4 linked regions of the Diceros bicornis minor genome follow. The protein of the gene in region 4 purifies or fractionates together with the protein of the main gene of each other region. This does not show direct contact. Links are inferred from orthologs where the notes say so. Each region holds a gene or a part of one and is shown on either strand. Other genes may lie near its edges. The genes, in order: TNRC18, SIN3B, SAP30 and SINHCAF.

Evidence for each region.
Region 1: the proteins of SINHCAF (region 4) and TNRC18 purify together in Homo sapiens (affinity purification with mass spectrometry; 3 studies listed by BioGRID and IntAct, counting the BioPlex papers as one, with this or other methods). This does not show direct contact. The link is inferred for Diceros bicornis minor from reciprocal best matches to the Homo sapiens genes SINHCAF and TNRC18.
Region 2: the proteins of SINHCAF (region 4) and SIN3B purify together in Homo sapiens (affinity purification with mass spectrometry; 3 studies listed by BioGRID and IntAct, counting the BioPlex papers as one, with this or other methods). This does not show direct contact. The link is inferred for Diceros bicornis minor from reciprocal best matches to the Homo sapiens genes SINHCAF and SIN3B.
Region 3: the proteins of SINHCAF (region 4) and SAP30 purify together in Homo sapiens (affinity purification with mass spectrometry; 4 studies listed by BioGRID and IntAct, counting the BioPlex papers as one, with this or other methods). This does not show direct contact. The link is inferred for Diceros bicornis minor from reciprocal best matches to the Homo sapiens genes SINHCAF and SAP30.

Annotation. Positions count from the first base shown.
Region 1 is NC_080765.1:9,769,101-9,777,005, forward strand, and holds the start of TNRC18 (trinucleotide repeat-containing gene 18 protein), read left to right. Parts: upstream 1-4,595; 5' UTR 4,596-4,988; intron 4,989-6,885; 5' UTR 6,886-7,131; coding exon 7,132-7,318; intron 7,319-7,905.
Region 2 is NC_080759.1:4,917,179-4,924,912, forward strand, and holds the start of SIN3B (paired amphipathic helix protein Sin3b), read left to right. Parts: upstream 1-4,526; 5' UTR 4,527-4,536; coding exon 4,537-4,641; intron 4,642-4,881; coding exon 4,882-4,988; exon of another isoform or gene 4,989-5,139; intron 5,140-6,276; coding exon 6,277-6,430; intron 6,431-7,734.
Region 3 is NC_080750.1:59,892,671-59,900,072, forward strand, and holds the start of SAP30 (histone deacetylase complex subunit SAP30), read left to right. Parts: upstream 1-4,001; 5' UTR 4,002-4,296; coding exon 4,297-4,617; intron 4,618-6,224; coding exon 6,225-6,350; intron 6,351-6,761; coding exon 6,762-6,860; intron 6,861-7,402. UniProt on the Homo sapiens protein: Involved in the functional recruitment of the Sin3-histone deacetylase complex (HDAC) to a specific subset of N-CoR corepressor complexes. Capable of transcription repression by N-CoR.
Region 4 is NC_080756.1:32,379,772-32,388,180, reverse strand, and holds the start of SINHCAF (SIN3-HDAC complex-associated factor), read right to left. Parts: upstream 3,129-8,409; 5' UTR 3,000-3,128; intron 812-2,999; exon of another isoform or gene 712-811; intron 1-711. UniProt on the Homo sapiens protein: Subunit of the Sin3 deacetylase complex (Sin3/HDAC), this subunit is important for the repression of genes encoding components of the TGF-beta signaling pathway.

The sequences.
Region 1 (7,905 bases), on a different chromosome or scaffold from region 4:
CCCCTCGATGGTGCGAGTGGCCTTGGAGTTGGGCTCAGGCAGGTGGTCGCGCGCCCACCCTAGCCTCACCGAGCCTTCCCAGGAGTAAGTGCCCGGCTCAGCACCCCTACCCCAGGCGGCGATCCGGTGACGCCCAGGTTGCTTCGGGGTCCGGCGACTGCGGGGAAGGATGATGGTGGCACCGAGTCGATGGGGCCGTTCCCTCTCTTTGGCGAACGGGGGAAACTGCTGGCCTGGCTCCCTGCACAGTCTCAGGGCCCCCAGGCGGTGACCGGGAGAGCAGGGCGCCCGGTGCGGCCCGGGACGCGAGGCTGGCCCGGAGGACCCGCGCGTGAGCAGCAGGAAGGAGGGCGCTCGTGGAGATTTATGGCCGCTGCCGGCTCTCGGCGCACCGAGCTCGTCTCCGTCCTCTCCGAGCCAAACAGTGGAGTGGAAGACCCGACCCGGGCCAGAGGAAGAGGCCAAGGCCGGAGGCGGAGCCGAGAGGCGCAGGGATCCGCTGGGGCCGGGCCTGGCGCTTCACCCCTGGTCTGCCCGCCGTGATCCCTGATCCCCGTGGCGTGCGGCGCTCTCGCGCCGCGTCCCTGGTCTTTCTGGCGAGTCGGGGCCGCTCTCGGCTGGGCTGGCCGACCCTCGGCTCGGCGCCGAATCGCGGCTGAACCAGTCGCAGCAAGGGGACGGCGAGCATGGTTGTCCCGGGCGCGGCCTCTCCGGGTTTTAGCAGTGCCCGGGCCGGGAGCGCCATGGTTCCCGGACCTGGAAACTGGCGCCTAAAAGACGCGGCCAGGGCTTCCCGAGCGGGCAGCAGGGGCCGGCGATCGCCCGAGGTCCCCTTCACCGAGAAGCTGGCGGAGCGCGGGGACTTCGGTCCCCACCGGGAAAGGCTGTTCGGGTGACGGGTGGAGGTGGCTCGGGTGTCCTGACCTAGTAAAGGATGATGGTTTTTTTCGGGGGGAGGGGTATGGGGAAAACGTGTCCACGCAGCCAGCAACAGTGGGATTTCGGAAAGCGCCGGGTTCGGCCCTGAATAGAGCAGAACTGACCAAGGCTCGGGGGCAGAGCCCGCGTGGCGAAGGCGCAGCCGGGCGCAAAGTTGGCCTGAACTTTGGTTTTAAAACAAAGGGGAAGAATTTTGTCAGTCGGGCCGCGTCCACGGAGTCAGAGAACTAGGAACACACAAAAGGCCTCTGCTCCGGCGGCCCAGGCTGGCCGCGGCTGACGGCGCTGGCCTGGGCGGGTTCTTCGGCAACTGAGGTCTCAGGGTTGCCAGGTCCCCCATCCAGCCGATTTTCCGCCCAGTCAGTACGAAAACACACACATACACACAGTGCGTCAACACACTCTTTCTGGCCACTGATCCCGCCGGTAAACAAGCGTGTGGGGGGGAGGGGGACGGAAGATGGCGGCCGGACCGGGCGGACGGCGGGGCTGTTCCCCGCTCCGCGCAGGGCTCCCAGGCCCGGTTTTCACGTTTAAATGCGGCTCACCAGAGCGGGGACGGCGTTTCCCCAGACCCCAGAGCCCAGCGAGGAATGCCCCAGAGGCCCCCTACGAAAGGCAGGGGTCTCCGAAGGAGCACACCCGCCACTCGGCTTGGGATCCGTCCCCCGCCCCAAGATGGCTCCCGGCCGCTGTTTACCCGCGACTGCGGGGGCACCAGGGTGCTGGGCCAGGGAGGGCGCGAAGATCAGGGCGCGCACCCTCAGCACGCTTGCAGCCCGGGGAAAGGTGCGCTCTGCGCGCCCCGCCCCGCGGCCGGGAACGGAGAGCCACCGCCGCATCCCCAGGCCCTGCGCCCCGGCTGGGCTCTGGCGGCGTGGGGGCTCGAGCGGTTGCCGGGGTGTGTGTGTGTGTGTGTGTGTGTGTGCGCAGGGAGGGGGGCGCACGGGGGCTGGGGCCCACAAAGGCCGGGGACGGGGGGTGCTGAGGGAGGGGACCTTGCCTGCCCCGAACCTCGGCCCTAATGAAATGCAGGCTCAGTTGGCCACGCCGACAAGGAGCACACTTGGAAAATGCAAACGCCATTGGCAAATCCAGGGCAAACAGGCAGAATTTTTATTAGCAACTAAATGATTTATGGCACACATACCCCGCCGTCACAATTACGGCGTCTTGGAGCATCCAGGGGTGAAAACATTAAACATTTATAAAAATAGGCTTTTGTTTTTTTCCACCCCTCAAGCCCTTTGTATTCCCCACCCGAACTCGCTCAAGATACATTTTTTTTCCTTGAGCTATATTAAAGTAAAGAAAAACATTCCAGATCCAGGGCGGGGATAATGGAGTGAGGGATCCGAGTCTGGGCTCCGAATACTGGAGGGCAACCAGGGGGGTGGGGAAGCGATGGGGGCCGGCTGTGGGAGGGTTTACTAGGAACCCACAAAGGCCTCTGGATAAGACTCGAGGACGCTCGGCGCCCACCCGGGCTGCGCCCCCACGCACGGCCCCTTTCCCTGCCTTGGCTTCCAGCGGCCCCGCGCAGCTCAACTGCATTTATTATATTCCTGCAGTCACCCCGCCTCCCCCAAGGCACACAGACACAATACCTCCTTTCTCTAACCCCCTACTCCTCTCCGTCTTTGCTCCTGGCCGTCCCGGGGCTGCACCACCGCCCTGGCCGCTACTGAGACCCATGCGCCCTGCTTCAAGCGCGGACACCGCCGCTCGTTCCCCTCGGCTTCAGCTATTTTCGTTCCTTTCTTTCCTTCTCACTGTTCCCTCCTCCCCCCGCGGAGCTCCAGCTTCCAAAAGAGGGCAGCCTAGAAACCAGCGCAGGAGGCTCCAGGAAGGGCAACTTGAAACTGCCCTCAAGAGGCCGAACTTTTTTCCTCAAATTTATACTGGAATTAAATTAGACACCCCCAGTTCACTCTCGAAGCCTACCTCCCCCTTTTTTTTTCTAAAAGTGGAGAAAGGAAAATAGAACGAATGGGCGCTAACTAGCTCATTTTTTTCCCTTCCAGAAAAGTTGCCTTAAAAATGTCTTAAAAAAAAAATAGAACGAGCGATGCGAAAACGCTGAGTCCGCATCGCGAGGCGAAAGAGCGGGCTTCTCTTGTTTTTAATTAAAATCTAATCACCGCGGTTGCTCTCCGAGGCAGGATCGGCAAGGATTTCTGCCCCTCCAAGCTTCTTTTTGAGGGTACGTAATGCCTAGCCGGGCATGGGTTCCCGCGGGGCTGCAGAGAGAGGGTGCGGGGCCCCCAGGGCGGCCCCTCTGACCGCGTCTGCACTCCTCGCGCCCGCAGCCAAGAAGGTTGCCGTGGGCAGCTCCCGGCGACTCAACCCAGAAAGGATTTTGCTGAAAGCGCAAAATAAAAGTACAAAGTCTGGGGGATTGGGGCTCCCCTCCCCCTTCGGCCGCCGCGGCCAGCCAAGCACTTTTTGGGCTTGGCCGCTGCTTCCTCTGAGCTCAACAGATTTTTTTTTTCCCGGTCTCGCCCTCCCTGGAGGGAGCGCGGCGGATGGAAGGCGAGAGAGGCCCCCAGCCAAGAGGTTTTTAATATTACACTTTAATAGGTTTCAGAAGGCCCCGTGGAGAAATGCTAATAGGCTGAAATGTCAGAATCGAGAGGGAGTCAGTTCGCGCTCAGCCGATCTAAACCTTTTTTTCTGCTCTGATTTTTTTAGGGGGGAGAGAAGGGGAGGGGAGCGCCCACGCAAAGAGAGCTTTGGGGAGGGGCGCGCTGTGCGAAGCGCCGCAGCCCCGGCCCGGGCCAAGCAGGGGGCGCGCCCCGGCCCGCGTTTCTATAGGAACCCCTTTTAGAAGATTAGAGACTCACCCGCTGCCCGCCGCCGCGGCCTCTCCAAAATATTAATCAGTAACCATCTGACACCGCGTTTCAGGGAGGGACCCGCAGGCCGGGGCTAGGAAAACGGCCTTCTCGCCTGCCCATCCCACCCAACCGCGCTGCTCGGGAAGAGGGAATGAATCGCTGCTTTGTTTTAAAAGGGAGGGGGGGAAAAAGGGAAAAAGCAGCCCTTGTCTGTTTTGGCGTCTCCGCCGCGCGTTCTAGAAGGCGCGCCCTAGGGGAGGTGGGGGGCTGGGGCCCCGGAGTGGGGTACAGCGCGCCAGGCCCCAGGCCCTTCCCCGGCCCGCTCGGCTTGTCACCTCCTCCTGCGAGCAGGAAGCTGACAGGCGGCCCATTAAACCGCGCCTTGCAAAGCCCTGGATTGCGGCGACAACCATCTTCCTCTATTTTGATCGCTCAGCCCAGACGCTGGGGGAGGAGGGGAGAAAAAGGGAGGAGAAGGAGGAAGGGGGGGTCCGAGCTGGTGGAGGGGGAGGGCTGCCTAGAAACGGCCCGGAAAAATTCTCACCACCAGTTTTGATCATTCAGCCCCGCCGAGGGGAGCCTGGAAACTGCTGGAGCCCCTTGGTCCGTAATTGGTTTTATAGGAATGGCTGAGGGCCAAGGTGTTTACATGCGCGTGATTGGCGGCGCGCGCGGCCAATGAGTGGAAGCCGGGGGCCGGCCTGGGGGGGAGGCGGGCGCCGGGGAACAATGCGTGTTTCTTCGCCGCCCGAGAGTACTCCCCTCCCCCAGCCGCCCCTTCCCCCCCGCGCTGGCTTTTTTTTTTTTTTTTTTTTTTTAGATCCAGCGAGAGGAACTTGAAAGGGGGGTTGTGTAATGTACCTTTTCCAATCCCGGGCTGTATATGGAGATTTGGGATTCTTTAAACCGGCGCTACCTGGATTTTATTAAAAAGCGGGGAGCTCGGCGGGAGGAAAGCTGGCTTTTCCGGGGGCTGCGGGAGCCCGGCCGCGGGAGGGCGGAGGAGTTGGCGCGCCGAGCGCTCGGCCCGGGGAGCGGTTTTCTACCAAAAAAAGGAAAGGCGGGCAAAAAGTGTGAGGCGGCTGCGGGTGGCGAAGGGGAGCAGCGGCCGCGGGATGGCGGGCAGCACGGGCGCCTAGCCGCGCCGGGAGCCGGGGCCGCCACGGGAGTCGCCGTCGCCAGAGCCCGGACCCGGGAGCCCCGCCGCGCCAGGTACGCCGCCGGGACGCCCGCCCGCCGCTGGCCGGGCGTGATGGTCTCCAAACTTCTCCAGCTGGTCCTCCATCCTGCCTCCCCCTCAGGGTGCGCCGGGGATCCCCGCAGTTCTCCGACCGCCGAGAAGGGAATCGGGGACCAGGGCCGGCGAGGTGGGGGCGCCCTGGGAGGGGTTGGGGCAGGCCGTTGCGCCCCGGGCGCCCACCTGAACCCCCAGCCCCGCTCCAGCCCGCCCAGCCGGGCCGAGGGGCGTCGGTTCCCTTCTCGGTTCCCAGCAGGCGGCGGGGGAGCCAGGGACGCCGAGACGTTTTCGATTATAGGCTGTTTTTAATTAAAAGCCGGAATTCAGCCATTTTAACTGCATTTAAGAGGGGGAGAAAAGTAGGGAGAACGCAGCGGAGCCCGCAGATGGCCGAGCCAGCTTCTGCCGGAGCGAGGGTGTTTCGGGGGGCTTCACCCCGACTTCCCCGAAGTGGGGCGCCGGGGCATGCTCCGAAGCGCTGGGTTTTAAAAGAAAGCTACATAAAGAACATTTTTTAAAAAATCACGGAAAGCTCATCGCCTCCTTAGGACATGTATCCTCGGATGTGGCGATCTTAGATTTTTCCAAAGTAAACGCGGATCTGGTAACGAGAGCCTGATGGGAGGGAGAGAAGGAGGGGGTGTTTGTAACCAAAACCGGGTAAAAATAAGCACCCTTAGCAAAGTTGGAGAAGGAGGCTGGGGGGTTTTGGGCTGAGGGGGTCGGCAGCTCGGGGGGCTGGGCTCCGCTCGCGGGGTGCAGGGCGCAGGGCGGGCACCCGGGAGCCGGTGGCTTTGGCGTGATCCAACGCTCTAGGAGCGTCCGGGCCTCCCGGAATCAGGCATCCGAGCTGCTGCGGGCAGACGGAGAGCGAGGGCGGGATTGGCTCCGAGACCCCCCCCCCCCACGGGAATCGGCAAACGACAAATCTTTTAAACAAACAGCTTTAAACTGGAACTGCAGGGGGATTTACCCAACGCTGGGGAAGGCGCCCCTCGGTCGGCCTGCGCTGCGAAGCTCTCCTTTGTAGGTTATTTTTGGGGTTGGGGGGAAGCTGGGGTAGGAGCGAGACCCTTGAGCCCCTTCCTTCCCCTCTGACGCCCCCTAAATCCCCCGCACCAGGCCACGTCCTCGGGCCGCAGGATTCCCAGGCCAGGGCGTTGGAAAATGAAACCAAAGCTTGTTTTGAAGGATTCTTGCCAGTCCTCGGGCGAGAATGCCACGTCTCGGGGCCTTGGACCTAGACTCTGCGACTCCCAGTGGCCCAAAGGGGGCGGCAGGAAGGAGCGGCGAGTCTCCTTAAAAATAACAAGCTCGCTTTGCACCTCTCTTCCGAAAAAAACCCCACGAATTTGACGGCTCCAGGCGAGCTCGGGGAAACCAAACTCAGAAAAGGGAGGCGAAGGCCCGCAAAGGTTAAATATTAAACTTTCCGGATCAGGCAGTGACATAGTGTTTAGAGAGACATTTCAAACTGCTCATGGAAAGGTTTTACGGTTTGAAACCCCGGAGCATGTGACGCCGACAAATCAAACCTACTCGGAGGTTTGTATTTATTAAGTCCGGGCGCGGCCGAGGGGCCTTCCCCAGCTTCGGGAGGACGCGTAAGCCGCCGAGGCAGAGTCCGGGCAGGGGCGCAGCGCGCCACCGGGCACTTCTGAGTCGGATCCCCGGGAGCCTCAAGCTGCCGGAGGAAGGAACATGGATTTTTACTTTTTATGGAAAAGGGGCTACTCTCGATTTCATTTCTGGCCACCAGATTGGCAGCCCCCGATCCCGAACGTTAAGACGACTTTCTGAAACTTGTTTCTTTTTTTCCCCCCGTTTGTCCCCTTCTGTTTCTTCCGCGGCCCGTCTCCTCTCTCCGCCAAGACGCCGTGTGCGCTGCCTTGCGCAGCTCCGCCTGGCCGCCCGGAGGGGCCCCACCGCCAGCCGTCTGTGCGCCCCGGGCTGCGGGCCCGCCGCCGAGCGCAAGCCCCGCTGGCCGCCGCCGCCATGCACGCCGCGGAGCCCCCGCCGCCCGAGGACTCTGGGACTACGCCGAGGCCGAACTTTTAGGTCCCACTGAGCGAGGCCCTCGGGCCGGGTGGGGGGCTGGCCGCGGCACTCCCGCGGAGGATGGATGGCCGAGACTTCGGGCCCCCGCGGTCCGTGCACGGCCCCCCGCCGCCGCTGCTGTCCAGCCTGGCCATGGATAGCCACCGCGTGGGTGCGGCCACGGCCGGTCGCCTGCCCGCCTCGGGCTTGCCCGGCCCGCTGCCGCCGGGGAAGTACATGGCCGGCCTCAACCTCCACCCGCACCCGGGTAAGTGCCCTGCGCTATGCTCGTCCTTTCCTCTCCCTCCGGGATCTTGGGGAGGGAGACCTGGGAAAAACTACTCGGCCTGTCCCAGCCATTTGCGACGGGGACGCGGCGCCCCCCTCTCCTTTAGCCGGTCCAGGGGAGTGCAGGCAGGCTCAGCTCCCGGGGCAGGGAGACCCCTGGGCTCAGAGCAGAGGCCAGTACGGAGGCCCCGGCGGAGAGGGGCGCGCGGCTCGCTGCCTTCCCAGGCGAACCAGTCTCTCCCAAGGCGCACGTGTCTGGCGAAATCGGAGCCACTAGGGACTATTCCAACCCTCGAGCCCCTGCGGCTCGAGCTTGGGCTGGAGTTTTTAAAATCTGGGCAAGAAAAGAACAAACCAGCCCCACATCCTTTGAGACTTCTGCTGCCCGAACTCGAATCCTTTTCTTGGCAAACGCCCTTGCTGGCGCCGGTGGGCCGGAGTTCCGTTCCTGGCTCTTCCACTCGTGCGGTGCGGGGTCTCAGGCCAGCCCCAGCGGTTTTGGGGGTGCAGGGAGGACGATGACCCCAGTCCTGGGACCACGGCCTCTGGCAGGTGGGCAGAGGCGTT
Region 2 (7,734 bases), on a different chromosome or scaffold from region 4:
GCCTCACCCTAATTCCAGCCCTGATGACACGGAGACACCTCACCCCCCAAGCGCTTCAGGACAGGTCTCTTAGGAAGGAGGTCATTCTCCTACATAACCACACACACCTCTGCAAACTAACAATCGTTATTTAATATCTTTTAAATAGGCATCCCTAATTTTCCTAATTAGCCCTAAAACCTCTTTTATAGCTGTTTCTTTCAAGTAGGGTCTAATTAGGATTTGGTTATCTCTTTAGTCTTCTATTCTAGAACAGGAGTCGGCAAGTTACTATCTGCAGGCCTACTGCCTGTTTTGTGAATAAAGCTTTATTGAAACACAGCCATGCCCATTCACGTACCTATTGCCTATGGCTGTTTTCATGCTACAGGAACAGAGAACGTATGGCCCCAAAGCCAAAAATATTTACCATTTGGCACTTTACAGAAAAGTGTGCTGACCCTGATCTTAAGGTTTGATTAGATTCAGGGTAAAGATTTTTTTAAATAGACTTTTTTAGAGCAGTTTTAGGTTCACAGCAAAACTGAGCGGAAGGTACAGAGATTTCCCATATGGCCCTGCCTCATGCATGCAGAGCCTCCCCCACTACAAGTGCTACATTAGTTACCCTTGATGAACCCACATGGACACATCATAATCAGAGGGGAAACATTTGTGACAAGGCTACTTCATAGGAGTGTTAGTTGCCTATTACTGCATAACAGATGACCACAAACTCCACAGTTGAAAATAACAGCCATTTATCATCCCACAGTTCCCGTGGGTCAGGAGTCCAGCCACAGTACGGCTGGGTTCTCTGTGCAGGGTCTCACAAGCTGTCATCCGGGCTGGAATCTCATGGAGAGGCTTAGAAACCCCTTCCACGATCACTCAGGTGGTTGGCAGAAGTGAGCTCCGTGCAGCTGTAGGACTGTGAGCCTCAGTTCCCAGAGGCTTCCTCTCTCCATAGGCATCTCCCCACACAGCTGCCTCCTCCTTCCAGGCCAGGAGGGTCACACCTGTCTGCTGCTGCGAGGCTCTGACCTCAGACTGTCTTTTAAAGGGTTCCCCTGATTAGGTCAGGCCCACCCAGAATAATCTCCCTTCTGATGAACTCAAAATCAACTCATTTGAGACCTTAAATACACCTGCAAAATCCCTTCACCTTTGCCATGTGGCATGCCCTAATCTCAGTCCAGAGTGGGGGATCAGATAGGGCATGCACACCAGGGGTGGGACTCTCTGGGCCCATCTTAGAATTCTGCCACAAGTCGTGATTCTGGGCTTTAGAGATTTTTGTCATAAAGCTTACCACCTGAGAAGACTTAGATTAGTTCAAAATAGGATCTTTTGATCTTGTCCTCTCAACCTTGCTAAAATACCGTCCAACGAAAGACCTACTTGCGAGTCTTATCTTAATGCCATTAAATCTGTGAAATGGTAAGGAAATTTGTGTTCCAGTTTGGTCTATCCAAACTGTCAACTCTAAGGTGTTCAATTTAATCTGTGTAGATGAGAATAGTAAAGGAAAAAATTCAACTTAGCAACTTTTTATGCTTTATAAAAATAAGAATGAAAAATGTATGTGTACCATTGTCCACATGTTGAACACACACTCACACACACACGTGCATACACACGTGCCCACAGGGAACTGGCTTGTGGTTTCCTGTTCTCCGAATGACTGAGGGCTTCCTCTGACCATATGAGATCTATGGAAAGTATGAAAAACTGACAGTGGTCCTTGAAATTTGAACAGAATCCACTCCTTGGGGAAGGGGGGCACTGTTGTGAGGACCCTGTTGGCATGTCAGATGCCCACACAGGCCTTTGGTCCTCCAGGACAATGACTGATAGGTTGCCAGGCAGAGTTAGTGTGAAAAGGACTGTCCAGACATCTGGTGGCCTCAAAGGGTTTGGGCCACCTTAGCTGCTGTTCATATGGGAATGCGCTGAAACTAGGGAGGATTCCTCCCTGGGCTGGGAGCCAGTATCATGGATGCTTCCTTCCCCTCACCCCGCACATTCACCCAGCACCACATCATTTCTGCTTTACCTTCTAAATATCTCTCTCTTCCATCCCCTCCTCTCCACCTCCACTGCTCCCTTCCTGGTCTAAGCCACCAGCATCCTTTGCCTAAAGGATGAAACAGCCTTCCTGCACCGTCCCTGGCGCCCCTCCCATCACTTCCCTGCAGAGCAGCTGGAGCATTCGCTTCTACATTCAAAGCTGCTCACGCAGCTCCTTGCATTAAACCCATGCGGTTTCTACCAGCGCTAAATGCCAAGACCAAAAGCCTTCACTCGTCCCAGAAGGATGAGTGGACTGCCCTCGCTGGCCCCTCCATGCTTATCCTGCACCCTCTCTCTCCCCTTCCCATTCCTCTGCAGTCTGAGAACACTGGTCTTTTTTTTTTTAAGTTATTCACATGTGCCAAACTCCCTCCCACCTGAGGGCCTCTGCACAGCTGTTCTCTCTGACTTTTCTCATGGCGAATGCATATGCATCCTTCAGATCTCACTTAGAATGCCACCTCCTCTGGGAAGCCTTCCTCATCCCCTGCTAGACTGGCTCAAGTCCCCCGGGTGGCAGGTGCTATTTTCCAAAAATGGTCATGGCAATATTTCTTGTCTCCCATACTATTCCAGAACCTGGCCACGCCCCAGGTTCTAGAGTCTGTTTGCCCTCCTCTTGAATTTGGGAGGGACTTTGTAATGGTCATTATGCAAAGATTGCAATGGAGATGATTCTGCGTGACTTCCGAGGCTGGATCAGAAAAGGCAACGTGGCTTCCACCTGGCTCACTCCCTCCTCGCAGATGACTGTTCTTGGAACCCAGCTGCCATGTTTTGAGGACACTGGGGCTGCGTGAGGAGGCCACATGTAGGTGTTCCCGGCAACAGCACCAGCATGGGTCTCAGCCTACAGCCAGCAGCAACTGACAGAAAGATGGAGTGAATAAACCTTCAGAAGGCTCCAGTCCCAGCCACCCAGCTGACACCAAGGGGCCAGTGATGAACTATTCTTGCCAAACCCGCCCAAATTGCAGATTGGAGTGCAAAATGAACGTTGTTGTCATTCTAAGGCTCTAAATCTGGGGTGGTTTGTTATACAGCCATAGTAACTGGAACATAGTAACTGTTACACTTGTACTTTCTCTTTGAAGTGTCTGTTACAGTTGAAGCTTTACATTTGTGTGTGTGATTATTTGATTCCTCTCCTTCTTGAAACACTGAAAACTCTATGAGGGCAAAAGCCTTGTCAGTTTTGGTTACCATTCTATTCCTGACAGCCCAGCACAGCGCCTGGCAGATGATGCACTCATTGCCAGTGTACACTCAGCTTTCCTGCACCTCTTCACATACAAAAAGAGATGCCATTTTGTCATGGATTGAATGTTCATTCCTTTAATAAATGCTCACTGATGTGGCTCTGTATCAGGAATTTGTGTTAGAGATGAAGCACAAAATGCAGGTGATGTACAAGGAACTGTGGGAGGGCAAAGGGGGGCTGGGGTAGCTTCCTGAAGGTGGGGACATTTGGGTTGTGTTTTGAAGGATGTTTAGGTATTTTCTGGGTGATGAAGAGATAGAAGAGGGCAAAGGAAATGGTATGTGCTGATGCATGGGGCCAGGGAGCAGCCGGGCTGGGCAGGCATTGGCAGGAGGTTCTGCACAGATAGGGAGGGCAGCTTGCTTGGGTGGGAAATTCTGCAAGAAAAAATTCACAAGGGTCAGGTTCTTATGGCCTTCAGTGCTGCGTGTAGGTGCTTAGATTTCTCTCACAAGAAAAAGGAAGACCTTGGAGGTTTGGAAGCAGTTGTGGAACGATCTCAGTTCTTGACAGCACTGGGGCTGGGAAAACCGGTGAAGAGGCTGCTGAACTGGTCTAGTGGGGAAGCGACGGGGTCAGGACGAGGGGAGTGAAGACAGGAGGAGGCAGACTAAGTCAAGAGCCATTCAGCAAAACTTCACCGCGCAGGACCCTATGTTAGGGTGCTGTGTGCTCATACCCCATTGTCACATCAACCCCATAAAGCACAGGGTTTTTCCACGCACTGCATAAAAATGTCCACAAACGTTTTTTAGTAAATATATCAGGCTCTGCAGATCTTAGGGTTTGTCACAGCTATTCACCCTGCTGTTGTAGCGCAAAAGCAGCCAGAGATGATAGCATGTAAACGAGTGGGCGTGCCTTGTGCCAATAAAACTATATTATACAGACACAGAAATTTGAATGTTATAGAACTTCCAAGTGTCACGAAATAATGTCTTCTGGATTTTTTCCAACTTAAAAAAAAAGTAAAAACCATTCTAAGCTTGCTTGCGGGGCCGGACAAATGCAGGCAGCACGTCTTGCTTTGCCCAACCGTGCTGTATAAACCGCATACCGCATTAATCAGTATTTCGGTTTTAGGGGCAAGATCCCACAGCGAAGTCCTCAGGAGCCCCGCCCCTCCTTAAAGTCATCAAGCCCCGCCTCCGGGGCAGAGCCTGCGCATGCGCAGCCGGCCCTGGGGGGGGGGCGCGGAGCGAGCCGCGGCTCCGACTTCCAACATGGCGCATACTGGTGGCGGCGGCGGTGGCCCCGCGGGCCGGGGGCTGAGCGGCGCCCGCTGGGGTCGCTCGGGCTCCGCGGGCCACGAGAAGCTGCCGGTGCACGTGAGTGGCGCCCCTGCCCTCCCGGGGGGGATCCCGTTGTCCGGCCCCCCCAGGCCGGCGCTCCTCACCCGGGCCCCGCCCGGCCCCGCCTCGGCCTCCCCTCTGGGCAGCCCGGGACCCCGGACCCCCGGACCCCTCACCTCGGGCCTTCGGAGGCCTGGCCTGACCCCCTCCCCCCCAGGGACCCTCGTTCCTTCCTCCGCCGACCGGGACCCACTGGGACCCTCCCTCTCCCCGCAGGTTGAGGACGCCCTCACCTACCTGGACCAGGTGAAGATCCGCTTCGGCAGCGACCCTGCCACTTACAACGGCTTCCTGGAGATCATGAAGGAGTTCAAAAGCCAGAGGTACCGGCGGGCCCCTCCCTGCCTGGGGGGCCGCCCTAGGCCGCAGTCGGACCGAGCCGGCTGGGAGCCCCCAGCCCCGCTGCCCCCAGCCCGGTGACCTTGCGCAGGTCGTCGAACCTCTCGGGGCCTCCGTTCCTTCTAGAAAAGGAGATTGGAGAGGCCCCTCCCTCCCTCGTGGAGCTGCTGTGGGGCTTCCTGGAAGAAGGGCAGGGGTCGGGGAGAGGCGACGGAGGCGGGTCCAGCAAGCACAGGGTCGGATCCCATCTGTAACTCAAAATGCTGATTTTTAAATGAATTTTGTTCATCAAGAATTTTTTAAATTAATTTTGATTTTTTTCCACGCACTGTATTAAAATGTCATTCATCTTGATTATTGAATGTTTTGGCTCCCTCTCCCCCTTAAATCTTATCCCCAAGATGAGTGCCTCCCTTGCCTCACCCTGGTATCAGGCCTGCTGGAAATAATGTGCATAAAACGCCCGGTAAGAGACCTGGCACGTAGAAAGGATCAAAAGTACATTAGCTGTGTTTTGTAGGTGAAGAATCGGTAGGTTTAGAGATAGACGGGGGACCTCATGATCACCCCCTTGTTTGACAGAAGGCTCACTGAGGCTTAGAGTGGGCCAGGGGCTTGCCCTGACCCTCCTTAGGGGCAGAGATGGCACTGGAACTTGGGTCCTCTGGCTCTCAGGTTCTCGACTGTCACGTCCTCACCATGGTGCTGCCCTCTTTGAGGAAATGTGGCAGGGTGGCTAGGGTTCCTTCCGCAAGTGGGATGCTAAGGCCTTGGGTCTTGACTGCAGCCATGAAGGCGACCCCTCTCTGCCCTTGCATTCTTACCAGACTCCACGCTTGCAGGCTGTTTGGTATTTATGTGTTGCATTCAGTTGTTGGGATCAACTCCTGTGGCATTGTTGATCCCTAATTCGTACGAAATGAAGGAATTTATCACATCACTTAGAAGGCTTTGGCCTCCTGCCACTTTTTGGAGTCCAGGACTGGCAGTTGCACTCCTGACATTTTCAGAACCAAGCTCATGTGCTTGGAGTGTTTGGGGAAGCTGTGTGGTGTAGATATTCTGTGGTTCTCGCCAGGAGGGCACAGGGAGCCCAGGCCTGGCTGCTCTCATGTTAGATCACTGCCCGCAGAATCCTACCAGTCACATTTTAGGGTGCATCGTGCCCAGTCCAGAAGCTGGTTACGTGGCACCGTCAAAGGAGTCGGGAGTAGATTTCGCTTGTAATTTGCTCCGCAAGACACTTTTGCCCACTGCTGTTCTTTGTTCCAGCATCGATACTCCTGGAGTCATCCGCCGCGTCTCACAGCTCTTCCAGGAACACCCTGACCTCATTGTCGGATTCAACGCCTTCCTTCCCCTCGGGTACAGAATTGACATTCCGAAGAACGGCAAGTTAAACGTACAGCCGCCTCTGTCGAGCCAGGTATGCAGCGGCAGTGGTTGAGTGACCTCGGCCCTCACGTGGCCATGCTGGTACTCAGGTCAGGCAGTGGGCCTCATGTGTCTCCTTGCCGGAAAGCTGGTGAAGAGCTGATGTTTTTCTAGGCGTGCTAATCGCTTCTAGCACAAATAGATCAATAGATCAAAACACCGCCACAGGCAGCCTCTGCATCCCAAATTGATCCTTTTGGAGGGTTTAAATGTAGAGTGGATGTGTTTGTGTGTGTCAGGGAGGCATTCTCCTCACACAGTTTTATGTCCAGTCAAAATAACGGTATCCACAGTCGCCAAGGGCTTGGCTTGAGGCTGTCCTTGTGAGGGCGCTAGGCAGGCCACGCTTGTGCTTGGGCATGTGGTCCCTCTGGTCACCCTCCATGCCACGCACAGAAATAAAGCGGTTGAGATGCGTGTATGAATGACCGTTTTTATTTTTGCTGTGCTGCCCGCCCCGTGGCTTAGCGGTTAGGTGCGCGCGCTCCGCTGCTGGCGGCCCGGGTTCGGATCCTGGGCGCGCACCAATGCACCGCTTCTCCGGCCATGCTGAGGCCGCGTCCCGCATACAGCAACTGGAAGGATGTGCAACTATGACATACAACTATCTACTGGGGCTTTGGGGGAAAATAAATAAATAAATAATTACCAACAGGGCGTTTGGCTCAGCTCAGGTTTGTAGCTTTGGTCCTTCTCTCTTGGGTGACAGCTAACCTCTGTAGTCCCTTCTTGCTTGATCTCACCAGACCCCCTGAGAAAAAGAACGCCTATTTGAGCTTTACTTTTCTAGGGTAACCATTTTTTTTTTCTCCACCTCGGCCCTGTTGCCATTTCAGGCATAATGTTTTGCGGCAGTGGGGCGGGGTGGGAGTGAGGGTGGTGCGGGCTGTCCGTTGCCGTAGGGATGTTTAGCAGCATTCCTGAGTCCACACACTAGGCCCTCACCCAGTGGGGACAGCCAAAAATGTCCCCAGACATTGCCAAGTGTCTGCTGGGGGCAAAATCCTCCCCCCACCCCCAGGGGTTTTAGCAGAGAAGGTAAAAATCTATGCAGGAAGCATTTTGCAGGTTTCTCCTCTGCTGAGGACGGTTGCAGTGTGTATCAATGAGGGAGTCAGGATTTGGAAATAGAACGGTGAGAGGCTACTGGTGCCTCTTTGAGAGGGACTTGCATGTAAATTCTGCCTTTTCTCTACGCAAGGCAGGCGCCACCATCAGCATGCTGTGTCATTAAAGCAGAGGAACGCATCTCGGTTTTAAAAGGAACTTTGAAGCGTGCAGCCATTGAATTCCAAA
Region 3 (7,402 bases), on a different chromosome or scaffold from region 4:
AAAACAGTGTGATCCTTAGCTGAAAAAAAACATATATATACATACATACTGGTATATGCATATAATTTTTTTCTAGAAGGAAACAAGAAATTGTTAACATTGCTTGCTTTTAGGGACAGGGATTTGAGGAGATGAGGGGAAACAGGCTTCTGTTTTTCATATTGAACCTTTTATTATTTGAACTTAAAATCATGTTCATATTAGGATTATGGGCCAATTTGGATATTTTTGTAAGTTAAAATTTACAATTAATTGTTTACATTTAATTTTTTATTTAAAAATAAAACCAGAAAAATTCAATCATGTTAAAAGCCTTAGAGAGAAGAAAGGCAGGGAAAAATACTTTTTAAAGAATCATATTTTGAATCTTTTCAGAAAGCAAAGAATATTTTGATGATATCAACAACCCTCCTATAACTTAGGTTTCATAAATCTATATTTCCATATTATCTACTCTGAAGTACATTTATAATGAAGCTAATGGATGTAAAGTTCATAGTCCTTCACTTGGACAGGCCTGTACCTAATTTTGCATTCTTAATTTTATATACTTTTTCTTAAAGACTCAAATTTTATGAGCTTGAAGCTTCCCAAAACGTGGTTCCAACCTTGATTGTAAATTATTCTTAAAGCAAGGAATTCTTACCTGCCCTGGATATGAAGAGTTGTAGAAATAAACAATGAACCACGGTTGTTATGAAAATTTCTTTGTATGGACAATAGATTCACAGAAGAAATACTTTAAATCCGGCATGGAGAATTTACATGTCATCTACTCCAGGAATGCTTTTTACTTGCCAGAAATGAATCATTTCCTCCTGTGTGCTAAGTCTCTCTAATTTTATTGAGGAATGTGTCTTTGTTTGGGCTGCTATAAAAAAAAATACCATAGACTGGGTGGCTTATAAACAAAAAAAATTTATTTCTCACAGTTCTGGAGGCTGGGAAGTCCAAGATCAAGGTGCTGACAGATTTGTGGCTGGTGAGAGTCTGCTTTCTGGTTCATAGACTGCCAGTCTTCTCACTGTGTCCTCACATGGTGGAAGGGATGAGGTTGCTCTCTGGAGCCTCTTTTCTGAGTCTCAAATCCTATTCATGAGAGCTCCAGCCCTCAGGGCCTATTCACCTCCCAAAGATCCTACCTCCAAATATCATCACTTGAGGATCAGGTTTCAACATATGAATTTTGGGGAGACACAAACATTCAGTCTACAGCAGCATGTATCATGTGCTTGTTAAGCTACCCATCTCCCCTACTAAACAGAGAACTCCAAAATGGCTAGGACCCTCTCCCAATTAATTTTGTATCCCCAAGGCCTAGAAAAGATCCTAGTATGCAATAAAGGAGAGTTTAATTGGACCTTTTATTTTTGTGTGTGTGTGCGGAAGATCAGCTCTGAGCTAACATCTGTGTCAATCCTCCTCTTGTTGCTGAGGAAGACTGGCCCTGGGCTAACATCCGTGCCCATCTTCCTCTGGGACCCGCCACAGCGTGTCCTGACAAGGGGTGCGTCAGTGCGCACATGGAATCTGACCCCGGGCCATGGAATCTGACCCCGGGCCGCTAGCAGCAGAGCACGCACACTTAACCCCTACACCACAGGGCGGCCCTAATTGGACCTTTTGAAAAGACTGTATTGTATGTAAAGAAAGCATATAACTACAATTCATCACTTTAGTAAAATTCATATGAAACTGATACGTAACTAAACCATACATACAGTATATACATGAACTAATTTGATCACATTTTGCAGAAGATAGATTATAAACTTTTAAGGGCAAGAACCAAACAATAATTATGAATTATTTAAAAAATACATAAAAGTAGAAAGAAAAAATGAAAATCCAACAACCCAATATCATATTTGTTTCAGATGTTTTTTTAATAAAAAAAAACTTACAAATACCATAGAGACCACCTTTGATTCCCAGATACTATCCCTTGGCCTCTCTCCTTAGAGATGACCACCACCCTTGGAGCATATCCATCTCTTCCACATGCTCTCATTTTTACCATTTAAGAAAATATATTAATAAACGATAGTATTATTCTGTTTTAATACTTTAAACCAGCATTATCTAAGACAAATATGTGAGCCACAAGTGTAATATTAAATGTCATAGTAGCCATATTTAAAAAAATAGAAACAGGTAAAATTTATTTTAATGTTATATTTCATTTAACCCAGTATATCCAAAATATTATCATTTCAACATGTAATCAATATAAAAATTATTAATAAGCTATTCAATATTCTTTTTTTAAAAAATTTCTGGTACTAAGTCTGAAATCCCCTTGGTAATTTATACTTACAGCACATCTCAATTTGGATTTAGATTTAAATTTAGATTACATAAAATTTAAGTTGAAAAAACAGATTCATATATCCAAGTTGTTCCAAATATACTTAAAAGTTTTCCAATAACTGAAATCAGTTTTTAAAATTTAAGTTAATTAAAATTAAATTAACAATTCAGTTCTTCAGTTACAACAACCACATTGCAAGCGCTCAATAGCCACATATGGCTAGAGGACACCCTATTGGACAGAGCAGCGTAAAAAGATAACACAAAGTACTTACCATTCAGCGCTTTTCTTTTGCTTACTCAATTTACGTAATATTTTCTTTCTTTCTTTTTTTTTTTTCCTTTGCCATAGCCTAGAACCGAAGCACACAGATGGAACGGGTGGCTTTAAATTTCAGGGCAGATGACATTATACGTTTAAAAAAAAAAAATCGTCTATCACTAAATTTACTCTGTAAGTCTACAGGAACTTGCAAAATAATACTGCTTTGTATTTTTGTTCAAACAATGGGATTGTTAACAGCATATATCTACCGATAAATAACGACGCAGCGTAACTAGCACAACCGCAGCATTCATATTAGCCGCTCCCATCCTTCTACCCCGCCCTCCACAAGCACACGTCCACATGCACGCACGCACAGACACGCAAACGCGCACACATACACGTACATGCACACATACGCGCACACACATACATGCATACACATACGCATGCAACACAAGCGCACACGCGCGTGCGGACCACCGAGGAAATGTGGCTTATTTCTCTCTTCTCGCTTCACAGAGCGAACGCTGGGGAGTTTCTAGGAAGCACTCAGGCTAACTCGGTATTTGTGGGGTTCCGCGTCCCCTTTTAAATGATATTAGACTCCGCCTTTCTCCAGGTTCATTCGAGGAGAAACTGAAAAGATTGGGGGTGGAGGCGAAGAGAAGCCCTGTTACAGTCAACTAGTCACTAGCTCCACCTCAGGAAGCAGCAGACTTTGCGCCCGCGAACAAAACGCGTTCCTTGCAGGAACGTGCAAGGATTTAGAAACGGCCTTTAGCGGAGGCATCTGGAGGGCGAGAGGTCGGGATGGGCGTTTTCCCGTAAGCAGGCGCTCTGAGCAATTTGGTGCGTCAATGAATGGAGCTGCCAGCCAGATGTGGAGCTAGCTGCCGGACCTCCAGGACCCGAAGAGCGCCAGGTCGCCTGAGTTCTCTTTGGTTTGAGTTTCCCACAAAAACATGGTCGCACCAAAAACTCTTTTTCCACAGATAGAAAAACGGCCCCGAAACTTTTTCCCACACGCTTATTCTCCTCCCCCCGCATTTTGTGCTTCGCCTCAGGAGTTGAGTGACCTCTTTGTCTAGAATGCCACCTCTGCAGAATCCCAGGAGCTAAACACAACACAGCTCCCCGGGAGAGATAAGAAGAGAGAAAACAACGCAACCACAACCACACGCCCCTATTTTCCCCGAGCTTAAAAAAGAAAAAGGGGGAAAAAAAAAACCCGGCCCGCCGTCGCGCGATGCATGCTAGGATAAGTAGTTCCTCCAACCCGCGACGCGCGGCGTTAAAGCAGAGCTCAGGTTGACTCCCCTGCAGAGAACTACAATTCCCGTGGTGCCCTGCTGCAGAGAGGGCGGGAGAGGGCGCTTCGCGCTTGCGCAGGTCGAGCAACCGGAGGGAGGCGGAGGCGCTGTGGTCCAACTGCTGAAGAGTCTCCATGTGACAGTGAGTGGGGTCCCGGCTCCAGGCGCCGCCCGACGCTAGTTCCCGACCCCAAGCCCTGTCCACTGACCCGGCATCGGCAGACACCAGCAGGCCGGGGACACTTGGTGTTGTGCTGTGCTGTCGGAGGACTTGAGGTGCAGAGTGAATTGCCGCCGCCGGGCAGGTGCCTGAGGGACCCCGCCGAGACCCCGGCGTCTCTGGAGAGAGAGGGAGCGGCGAGGCGGGCGAGGATTTCTTTCAGCGCCGGCGCCCCTGAGCGCAGAGACATGAACGGCTTCACGCCGGAGGAGATGAGCCGCGGCGGGGACGCGGCCGCCGCCGTGGCCGCCGTGGTCGCTGCCGCCGCCGCCGCCGCCGCCGCCTCGGCGGGGAACGGGGCCGGGGCAGGGGCCGGGGCTGAGGTCCCCGGCGCCGGGGCGGTCTCGGCGGCTGGGCCCCCGGGAGCGGCCGGGCCGGGCCCCGGGCAACTGTGCTGTCTGCGGGAGGACGGCGAGCGGTGCGGCCGGGCGGCGGGCAACGCCAGCTTCAGCAAGAGGATCCAGAAGAGCATCTCCCAGAAGAAGGTGAAGATCGAGCTGGATAAGAGCGTAAGTGACTACGGGACTGCCCTGCCCGCCCCCTTGGGGCTCCGGGAGCGGTGCAGACGGGGGTTGTTGGGCGGGGGTTTCAGGGGTCCCCCCGGACCTGGTTGCAGTGCGAACACGTTGTGGGGTCTCTGGTAGGAAGCAAACAAAGTCGCTGCAACTCCGACCGCCACCCCCAACAGACACACGCACACTTGCACGCTGCGGTTCCGCTCCTCCCCCCATCCCCCCCGCTCCCTGCCTCTCCCGCTCTCTGTCTTCCCCTTCCTCGTCCGCGGAGATCGGGAAACGAAACAAAGGGGACCGCCCGGAGTAGTTTTCTTGCAGCCCGGCAGCGCCTTCTGGAATGGAGGCGCCTTCTTTGTTTTGCTGCCCAAGCTGGCGTTTGGCACCAGGGAGTAGCTCCCCTCGTCTAGGGAAAGTGGAGTCCCGCAAGGACCTGACCCCGCAGTCAAGCAAGATCCCGCTCCTCGTTCCCCCGAGCACGGAGTGAGAACGAACCCGAGCTCACCCGGCGCCTCGCAGGGAGCCAGGACTGTGAACTGTGTCGGCGGTGTCAGCATCTGGGGCTGGGGCAGCCGCTCCGAACGTGCGGAGCACGTAGCCTCTGCGGGTTTGCCGTCCGCCGGCAGCCATCAGGATTCTTTTCCGTCCTTTGCACGTCTGTTCTTTTGATCCTCTAAAGAGGTTTTTAGAAATAACCATTGCCAGTTTTCGGAGCTCTGCCTGGCGGTAAAGGAATAACAAGATGTCAGAACCTAGCACACGCCCGGCATATTTTTAACTTGCACATAGCTTAGAAGTTAATTTAAAAGCCTATTAGCTCGGTCTTTAATTGGTTTTTAAAGAGTAACTGTTAATGTGAAGCTCCGTGTTTCAGATGTTACTATACAGCTCTCAAGACTATATGTAATGAAAGTTTTTGAAGAGTTTATTTGTGATACTTTCTGCCTGTTAAAACAGTTAGTTCTTCGGTCGTGTTCATGAGAAACTTTTCAGGTAAATTTGAATGATTTCACATTGCTTTGATTGGAAAAACGTAATACAGATAAGTAACATTTAATACTCAGAAAAGTTTATAATTCAAATTTAAATATAGTTAGAATATGAAATCAATAACATTTGTAAAAATGGATAGTTCTGTATCTGGATTGTAATCGGAGTATTAAGAAAGATGAGGAAGCATACATTATGCTACTAAAATATGATCTTTAAGTAGAAAAAAATACTATCAAATAGCGAAATGGTGCGCAACATCATCTTTCCCCTTGTTATAAAACAGGATGACCTAACTAATCTAGTTCACCTTCACTGTAATTTGATGATTAAATCCAGAGGGTTGAAATTTCTCATTCTCCTCTACCTGCCTCCCCTCCTTTACTGTCACCCCTCACCACTCTACCCCCCAATCCTCTTAACAGTGTTGTAAGACTTAGTATGTTTTAGCTGGGTGCAGGACTTAAGAATAGAAAGAAACATGCCATTGTCTTAATGGCTTGTTTTGACTGTTGTTTTTATTTTTAATAATTCACTGTGGCCTATGTATTTTACTAAATATATAGAAACATTTTATTGTAATCATAAGTAGTCTGTGAAATTTTCTGTTTCAGGCAAGGCATCTTTACATTTGTGATTATCATAAAAACTTAATTCAAAGTGTTCGAAACAGAAGAAAGAGAAAAGGGAGTGATGATGATGGAGGAGATTCACCTGTTCAAGATATTGATACTCCAGAGGTAGATGCAAGTTTTTGGATATTAAATGTAAATCCTAAGTAGTCCATTCTGAAACTTTTATAAAAAGATATTAACAAATTTTTTAAATACTTAAAGCATTTGAAAAATCTGAAAATGAAAGCAAAATTAAATATAGCCAGTTAACATGCAGTTACACAATTTTACTTGTTATATTTTCAATTGACACCTCATAGCTGCGTTGTCTTACATCTTTTTTTTGCCCCTAGTTTTTACTATTTATCCTCAAAAGATTAAAGTGTTTAATACATTTTTAGTTTTGATTGTATAAAAAGCTTTTTTAATAATGGAATCAAGTTTTTATTGTGCTGAAATTGAAATGTTATTATACATATTAAAGATAAGTTTTTAACAGATTCTGTGAACTAATTCACGTATGTTAATTTTTTCTAGGTCGATTTATACCAATTACAAGTAAATACACTTAGGAGATACAAAAGACACTTCAAACTGCCAACCAGACCAGGACTTAATAAAGCGCAACTTGTTGAGGTATATATGAGTTTTAAACTATTTAAACTTTAAATGAGCCTGTTCATGCAAAAAGGGTCATTAAATGCTAATGAAATTGTTAACGTAGTGTATATAGTAATATATTTTAGTTAGAAAGATCAAAGTTAATAAAAAATCTATTGTGGAAGAATCTAGTTGCCTAGAAATGTTTGCACTTAGAAAATTCCTTTACATAGTGACTATTCAATGGATTGTGTGTAGTTTTCTAAGCATATTCTTTTTTTTTTAAAGTTTTTTTTTTTTTTAAAGATTTTATTTATTTTATTTTTTTCCCCCCAAAGCCCCAGTAGATAGTTGTATGTCATAGCTGCACATCCTTCTAGTTGCTGTATGTGGGACTGTGCCTCAGCATGGCCGGAGAAGCGGTGCCTCAGTGCGCGCCCGGGATCCGAACCCGGACCGCCAGCAGCGGAGTGTGCGCACTTAACCGCTAAGCCACGGGGCCGGCCCTCTAAGCATCTTCTAATACTGGCTTTCAGAAATGTTGAGTAAGGGTTTTTTTTATTCTAGAAATCTGTTCA
Region 4 (8,409 bases):
GTGTCATCCCCTCCAGCAGCTTCCTCCCTGCCCCCATAAAAATCTCCAAGGCCCAACTCCCTTTTGGCTAGCTTCTTCAAGGTCATCCCGAGATAACGCAGTGAACAATTACCAAATACCGAGCCAGGCATACCTCTAGGGCCAAAAAAGATCCCCCTTCCCCAAATCATTATATAAATACTTTAAATGCCATCAGGCTTTTCTCCAACTCCACGAGAGACAACTCCCAGACTTTTAATTTAATTTAGATTGAGCAAGTAATAAACTGTTCGGTTTTGCAACAAAAATTATTGAAAGCCTTTTCAAGTCTGGCAAACTCCAGTTCAAAAACAGGTGCTTTCGGGATACTTTTAATGACAAGGTCAAATTCATTTTTTTAATTATTAAAAGAAAAACGGGGGGGGGGAGTTTTCTTAACCTTCCTTAGGACAACGTGACGAGCAGGGGGAAAGGACTGCTGGGGTGAAACTGTCTCGCCTAGGGTCCATGTTTGGCTAAACGGCAATTCCTAGTCTTCCGAGTGCCTGTAGTCACCGAAGGTTAGAGCGAGAAAATAAAAACAAAGAAACCTACTAGGGTCATAGTTACCAGCACAAACTGCACCACCCTACCACCCCAGAAACCACCCCACCTCACCCCCAGCAACCAAAACAAACGTCGCCCCTCCCGGTTCCCCCTCCCACACGTCCACACAAAGAAAAAAGCACGCACAATTCGGCCACAGTCCTCACTTCCCTTTGTAGGACAACAGGGAGCCCCGAAACTTCCCCACGGTGGTTTTTCGGGTGTCGTCGGGGCAGGGTCCCCTGAACGTCCGGGCCACGGCTCGGCTGCGGGGGAGAAGGGTGATCGTCGCCCTCGCCGGGTTCCCCGAAAGCAGCAAAACGCCTCCCCCGTCCTCCCACCGCCCTCGGGTCCCCCCGAACTGCGCTTGTCCCTCGGGCACGCGGTGACGGCCGCGAGAGAGGCAAGAAGGCAGCGACTGCAAATGCTCCCCGGGGGACGTGTTGGTAAAGAAAACAACTTGGGTCGGGGAGAAAGTTGCGGTGGAGAGCTGCTCGCGGGGCGCGGGCGGCGGGAGGCGAGCCGCGTCCCCGGCCGCCGCCCCCCTCACCTGCGCCGGAACAACGGGCCCCCGCGCCCGCCCGCCCGCCCGGCGCCTCCCGCAGGCCGCGCCTCCCGCACGCCGCGCTGCCGAGGCTTGTTCCTCCTCATGGCTTTGCCCTGACGTAATTCAAACATGGCAACAGTTCGACTTCAAAGGCGAGGCCACAGACCTCCCAGACACAGGCTCCGGGCTGCGGGTAACGGGCCGAGACTCGGGGCCACGCTCGCCCGGCCCCCCGGCGTCGCGGCAGCCGGCGTTTGCGCCGCAGCGCCGGGGCCCCCGCCCGCCGCCCCCCGCGCCCTCCCGCCCGCCCGGAGCGCGGAAGCACGCCGCCTCCCCGCGCACCAGCATGGCACCTCACACCGCAGCGCCGCCAAAGTTTCCCCGCGACGGGCCGAGGGACAAAAGCCCCTCCTGAAACTCGCCCGAACTTCGGGGGGCCCGGCCCGCACGGCGCTGCGCCCCGAGCGCCGGCGGGGCCCGCATGGGCACATGCAGCTCTTTGTTTTCTGTCCAGCCGGGCGCTGCCTACGTGCAGCAGCGGGGATGTCGGATTGTTTCTCAGGGGCGAGACCCTGGACGGTCCCCCCGGGGAAGGGGCCGGACCCCGCGCCCCGAGAGCCCGGAGCCCCGTCCTCCCCTCGGCAGCAGGCCCATTTCATCCAAGTTTTGCAATGTCCTTGATGAGAAACGCCCAGATGACCCGCCCCGCACCAGCGGAGAGTTGGCGACTTTCACTCTGCTTTTTAAACTGGCAAGACGCCATCATCGGCAAATCACATTGTCCGGCCGGCCGGCCCCGACAGCGGCCGCAGCGCACGGCTGACCCGGAGCCGGACACTGAGCCAGACCTCCGGCGAGAACCGGGGTCGCAGCCCCAAGCACGTGGTCTGTCATGTTCCGCACAAAAAGCAGTGCCCTGCGAGTTGTCTCACTCCTTCCGCGCAGACAACGCCGCCGCCGCCTCCATCCCCGAGTCAACTTGGCTCGGACTGGCCATCTTAAGCCGCACACGGTCGCCGAGCAAGCCGTGGCCGTGGCGCCCACATCTACGCTACAGGTGAAGAAATTGCGAGCAAAACTTGAGGCTCCGCAGCCACCTCGGACCCCCGCGCTGTTGGGCGCGGTCCGGGGGAAAAGGCGTCTGGGAGCCGGGGCCGTTTCCGAGCGGCCGCGTGTTGCTCTCATTGTCGCATCCGCATCCCCCCGGAGTTGGGCAAACAACGCCACGCCGCGTGCACTCCGGCAAACCCCGGCGCGGACCCCCAAGGCCGATTTAAACCCCCTCCCGCCCGCCAGCTCGCAAGTAGACGGCAACTTAGTTTTCGAGCGAATGGCGTTTATTGTCCACCCGTATCAAAACACGCGCAGGGGCTGCAAGAAACTCCACCACGAGGTGCAACAACGGCGCCGACCACTCCCGGGGCGCGCGCCCACGCGGGTGCACCGACCCGGGGCCCCTCCGCAATTGCCAGCGAGTCGTTTTCTCTCGGGCCTTTGGGCCACCGGGCTCCTTTTCGCCAGAGAACACTGCGGCTGAGAAAAGTCATTGTCACCTTCAACGTGGATCCCTCAACTCCAGCGACTCCTCACTCATCTCCAGGCGCCACTCACTTCCCCCACCCAAGACTTTCGGTTTCCCTCAAAGACCCTCCCCAATTAAAAGACACACTAAACCTGGGTATACAAAACATCTGGGGTCTGAAGATCACGAAAACAGCGTCCCCAGCAATGCCACCTCCAAGACAAAACTTCCTGTGTGTGTGTTGTATGTGTGTGTGTGGAAGGACTGGGGGAGGAGGGTGAGGTGAAAAAGAGAAAAAAAAAAAAACACTCAAATCAAAACCTCGTGAGACAGTTTTGCACCCGAGTCATGGTTAGAGCCACTCACCTTCCAAAAGCAGCCGTTCCACGCGCAAGAACGTTCCCGAGGTGCGGAATGCACGCCAGGCCAACCCCCCCTCCAATCGCTCCCTCCTCCTCAACTGCCTTGTCTAGAAAGATTGTCTCCTGCAGTTCTGCAGTTGCTACCGCGGGCCGGGAAGGTGTAGATTCCGCTTTCCCTCTGCGCACGCGCGGCTCCCGGTGCAAAATTCTCCTGAATCGAACTTATTTGCATACGGGGGCGCGCGCGTCGAGGGCTGGGAGGGGAGAAGGCCCGGCGGCCGCGCGCGTTCCCGAGGTCTCTATTGTCCTTTTAAGGGGAGAAGAGCCGCGGCGCGGGAAACGCGGCGGCCAGAGGGAGACGGGGGCGGGGACTGCTTACTACGGCTGACGTCACGTAAACAAACGCCCCCTGGCTGGAGGCCGCGGCGAAGGGGGAGTGGCGGGATGGGAAAGGCGGAAAGGTTAGCAACCCAGGGACAACGCTAGGCTGCGTGACGTGCTATCCGCCCTGAAGTTCTTAGGGCGCACCATTTCGCGTTGAAAAATAGTTTTGAAAGCTGTTTTTACAAGATTCTCACACCTGTGTCCAGTTTCTGGCCTGAGGTGACAGGGAAGGTGATCTTGCAAGCACCCAGACTGAATTTATACGTCTCCCACTTTTCCTAAATTGTGTTTGAAGTTGAGTTTTGAAGCTTTTTAAAAAATCCTCTGGGACCAGCAGAGGTTTATTTTTCGTGCAGTTTTAATGAGTCATTTCATCAAGTCCCTTTTTGACACTCTATCCATTCACAAACTCCCGCCTGCCATCCTCAAACAGTAACCCAACCCATAACAATCCAATTTTTTTTTTCTTCACTTCGGCCCTAAGATTACAAGCCTGTCGAGTTGAATGGTTGTTAATTTCCGTGGGAACAGTGTCGCTTTCCTAAAGACTAGTCAGTGGAAAGCCAGTAATCTGGGGACGTGCATACCTCCTCCAGCTGCTTGTAAAGGGTGTTCCACTCGCCCAGAAATAATACCACTCACTGGTGGTCTTGGGAATTGAGGAAGTAGCCAGTGAAGTGCAGACTTCCCCTTATGGAATGTGTAATAAGCCAACAATCTAAACACTTCTTGCCCCAGGAGGGGAAAAAAAAATGAAAAACTGAAGTAACTCTTCTCAGATTGATAAGTGAAAAATGAAAAACGATTGTGATACACCTTTATTCCAAAAACACACCTCACATCAATAGGCTGAGACCCTGATTTAATAATAGCGGGAGGGTGGGGAAAGAGGAAAGATGTTTCTCTAAGAAACTTACTAGTCCCAAGCTACAAAAGTGTGGACATCAGCCATAAAACTTAATCATCTGCTGACAAGTTTCACTGCTTTCACTGTAGTGTCAACAATATGGATTTAAATAGATACTTCTGGAACACTAATTTAATTCAACAGCCGATTCCTAGTACATACAAGACAAACCCACTTCTGAAGTTTTCAACCAATGCTTTTTTTCTTTAGGTTCTGTAACATACTATTTCTGTAACTGTATATGAAAACCATATATTAAATACCTGCAAAGGAGAAAAAACTGACGCCTCTCACTAAAATGTGAGCTTCCTAAGGGCAAGAATTTCCTATTGTATTCATTTTTGTACTCCAGTGCCTAAGACAGGGCACAGCAGATAATGGAGTCTGAATAATTGCTTGTAAAATAATAAATCAATGGACATGTTCAAATGTATTATAGATTTATCTCAAATCAAAACAGCTTTACTTTAGTTTAGAATTTTTGAATTGAACCTAAAATGAGTTTGAAAGTTATAATGATCACCTGGATTGATGTGATGCCTGTCTTTATTGTAACAAATAAAGCAGAATAGGCTTAATAACTATTTCTGGGCTTTCATTGGTGGCAAACAGGACCCTGAGCGTAAACTCTTACTTTCTTCTTTTTGAAGAGAATTTTAAAAAGTTGTCCTGAGCACTTGTTTGGTTTATGATAGATCCTCCAAAAATAATTTCAAATTAGTATATGCTTTTGAAAGTATGAAAATTGCAAGTATAATATTTTTCAAACTTCAATTATTGCTTACTGGATATATTTATATATTTTTTATATATATAAAAATATATATATTTATATAAGATATAAAGCTGTACCTTGAATGCCTTTTCTCTTGAAAGTTTAGTGAAGGATACATATTGTAATCCAGGGATGGAATGGGTTCAAATGTGCAAGCAATGAAGGAATTACAGTATTTAGGATATACTGTTCAGATAAGAAAGTACCTGGAAGCTTCAGAGGTACCGAGCTAATACCATACAGCAAGACTTCCTCTGCTCTCCAAGTAGAGGTCAAGAAGTAATCTGGGTAATTTTTGTAGGAAAGGTAACAACAAAATCCGAGAAATTTGAGTTCTTCAGACTCTTAAAAAAAAAAAAAAATCCCTGCTGTTTTTGAACAACCAGGTGCATTCCAAAGTTTCTTTTGTTCATTTGGTTGCTTGAACATGTCGTTGTGGCTGGCTCTTTCCAGGGCCAATAGCTCATTTATGGGGTACTTTAAAATACTATTATCTAAATAGCCCAAGTGAATTTTTCACCATAAAAAAAGAAAGGAAGAAAGAAAAGAAGTAATTTATAATATATAAATTTGGATTATAGGAGATTGAATTATACCATGTTAGGAAAATTGAGGGTTTTTTTTAATGACTGTAGTGCTATGTTGCACTCACACTGAGTTCTCAAAAATATTGAAATTGAAAATATAGTAAAAATTGAAATTGAAATTGAAAATAAGTTGCCAGATACTCTGGATAAGCCAACTACCTTGCTTATAACATGTTGTCCCTGCTGTAGAATTATCCATAATGCTTGAATCTTTACATTCATTTAGCAAACATTTAATGATCATAACTATGTGCCAGATAGTAAAACCATTTCAGAAGTGGAGGGGCTCAAGTCCCCTTCACCTCTTCTAATTTATTTCTATATAATTGTATTTTATTTGCTACTTTTTCTTCTGTAGCATTTATTGCCTTCTTTTGAGACTTAACTATTGTCAGCAACTGTACAATTTATTATAATATTCTTGGAATGGAGGATGAATTACATATAAAGGACTGAAAAGGACAATTCTTGCTTGGTAACGAAGGATATTATCAGCAATTTAGTAATGTTTGTAATGACAACTCAAACTAATGATTGTTTTTAAATAAAGGCTGATACCCTCATCAGACGCTGGTGCCAACCACATCAAAACATTTTTGTTGAGCCCAGGAAAGAGCTGATTATTATTATTAAATATTGGGTTTGGTTCCTTCACAGGTAATAGCTATAAAACTAAACCTTTTCCTTACACCAAAATGAGCACAGTATTGTGTTATTTAAATCCTTTTGATGTTCAACTAGCAAGTAGTCAGAGCAAATCAGATAATTTTAAGCTATAAGGTATAGAATTGGACATGTGATCTAAGCAATCCTCCAACAACCGTTGACAGCTGCTGCAAAAAGTTATCTATTACATAATCAAAATTAACTTTTCAAATTTCTGCACTTAAAGAATTGTCACAATTTTATTCTTAGAAAGAGTAACCTCTGAATTTATAGAAATTTTAAGTCATACTATCTTATGACATTATGACATCTTAAGCATACTATAAAAAAATCAAATTACTGGTAACAAAAGTAATTTTATTTTAAGAAGGACATTGACAAACTAGAATGAGTTCACAGGAGAGTAAATCAGGATGATGCAAGAGCCTGGAAACCACAGCATAAAAGCAATAATTGAAGGAGGGGCTGTGTTTTGATTGAGCAAGAGAGCAATCTTTGACTATCTGAAGAACCATCATTAGAAAAACGAATGGGCTTGTGTTTTTATGCTTAGGAACCAAATCAGTCTTGAAAATCGTAAGAATATAGATTCTTGCTAAACATCAGAAAAATTTCTAGACATACAAATGGTCCAAGGAGGGTTCAGGATACTTCAGAATGCAGCTGCCCATCACTAATGATGGTATCACAAAAATAAAACCAAGAATTTCATTTCAATGAATTACGTTATTTGCAGTATAAAGCTTGCTACCTCTAAACTCCTATTGAACTCTATGGATCTGTGATTCCATGGGATAAATGAGTGGTACCAACAATAAGTGCCTCAAGTTTGGGCAGGGATTTATCACTGTGGCTGGAGAGGTTAGGAAAGTCTTTTTGGAGAGGATGGGATTTGAACTTGGACATGAGTTTGTTCATTCATTCATTTAACAAATACTTTTGAGTATCTACTAATTGCCAGGCTCTGACAATAAAATGATGAACAATGCAGAAACAGTCTTTCATGGAATGTGGGAGGCAGGCGTTCCAAATAACCACACAAATATAATTAAAAACTGTGAGAAATAAAATTAAAAAAAGTAGTGTGAGCCTAACCATGTGTGGCAAGGGAATCTGATCTAATCTGGAGGTAAGAGAAAGCATCTTTGAGGAAGTGAAGTTGAATTATCAGCAGGATTAGATGGAGAATTGAAAAATGGAAAGAGGATTGAACCGGTGGCAACTTCAGGAACAAATTCATAGAAACAGCCAAAGTACTTGGGGTGGTGAGGAAAGGCACAACTAGGAGAAGAATCATGTCTTTGATTGAATAAATGTCATACATGAATCCTGTTTGAGGAAGAAGATAGTGTAAGGTGTTGGAGACCAAGAGAAATCGGGATTTAAGCCCTACAGATCTGGAAGTACCTACATTTGAGTTGGAAGTAGTCACATGCTAAAAGTACCCCAGCGACAAAAATCTATGATTAGATTACAATTGGTTTAATCAACATGTGTTTCTTCTATGAAAATTTATTTTTCTAAATGTCAATAAGAAATTGATCCCCCAGCCATGGAATCCACTTCCCGGAAGATCCACTGTTCTAATTATTCATCTCATTACTGAAGGCAAGCATGCCACATCATCAACAGATGAACAAGTGCACAAGCAGACACATAAAACGGAAAGTCAAAGAAACATGCTGGGTCGCCGTTTCTAAGAGCTTTGGGAATAAAATATCCAGGATTCTAGAAGAATTTGATATTTTGCTTACAGTTAATTAAAAAAAATTTTAATATACATTTTTAAGAATTTGAATTCTTATCATGAATTTTTTAAAAAAAGAATGCAGTATTGAGGCATAGATCAGCAAATAAGAGTTATTGGTTTCAAGGTTTTAGATGATACAAGCATTAATAGTTTATCTAGATATATTGTGAATCTAGCAGTGCTTTAGTGTTCCAGAAATGGAAATGCAAAGTAAAGCAGATGAAACAGAGATAATCAATGTACCATATTGCATTTGTGACAGTGGTTAGATAAGATGGTATCATCAGAGAGTAAAACATATTGCATACGTCTTCCTAGAAGGCAAGGTTTAGCGGATGAACATAA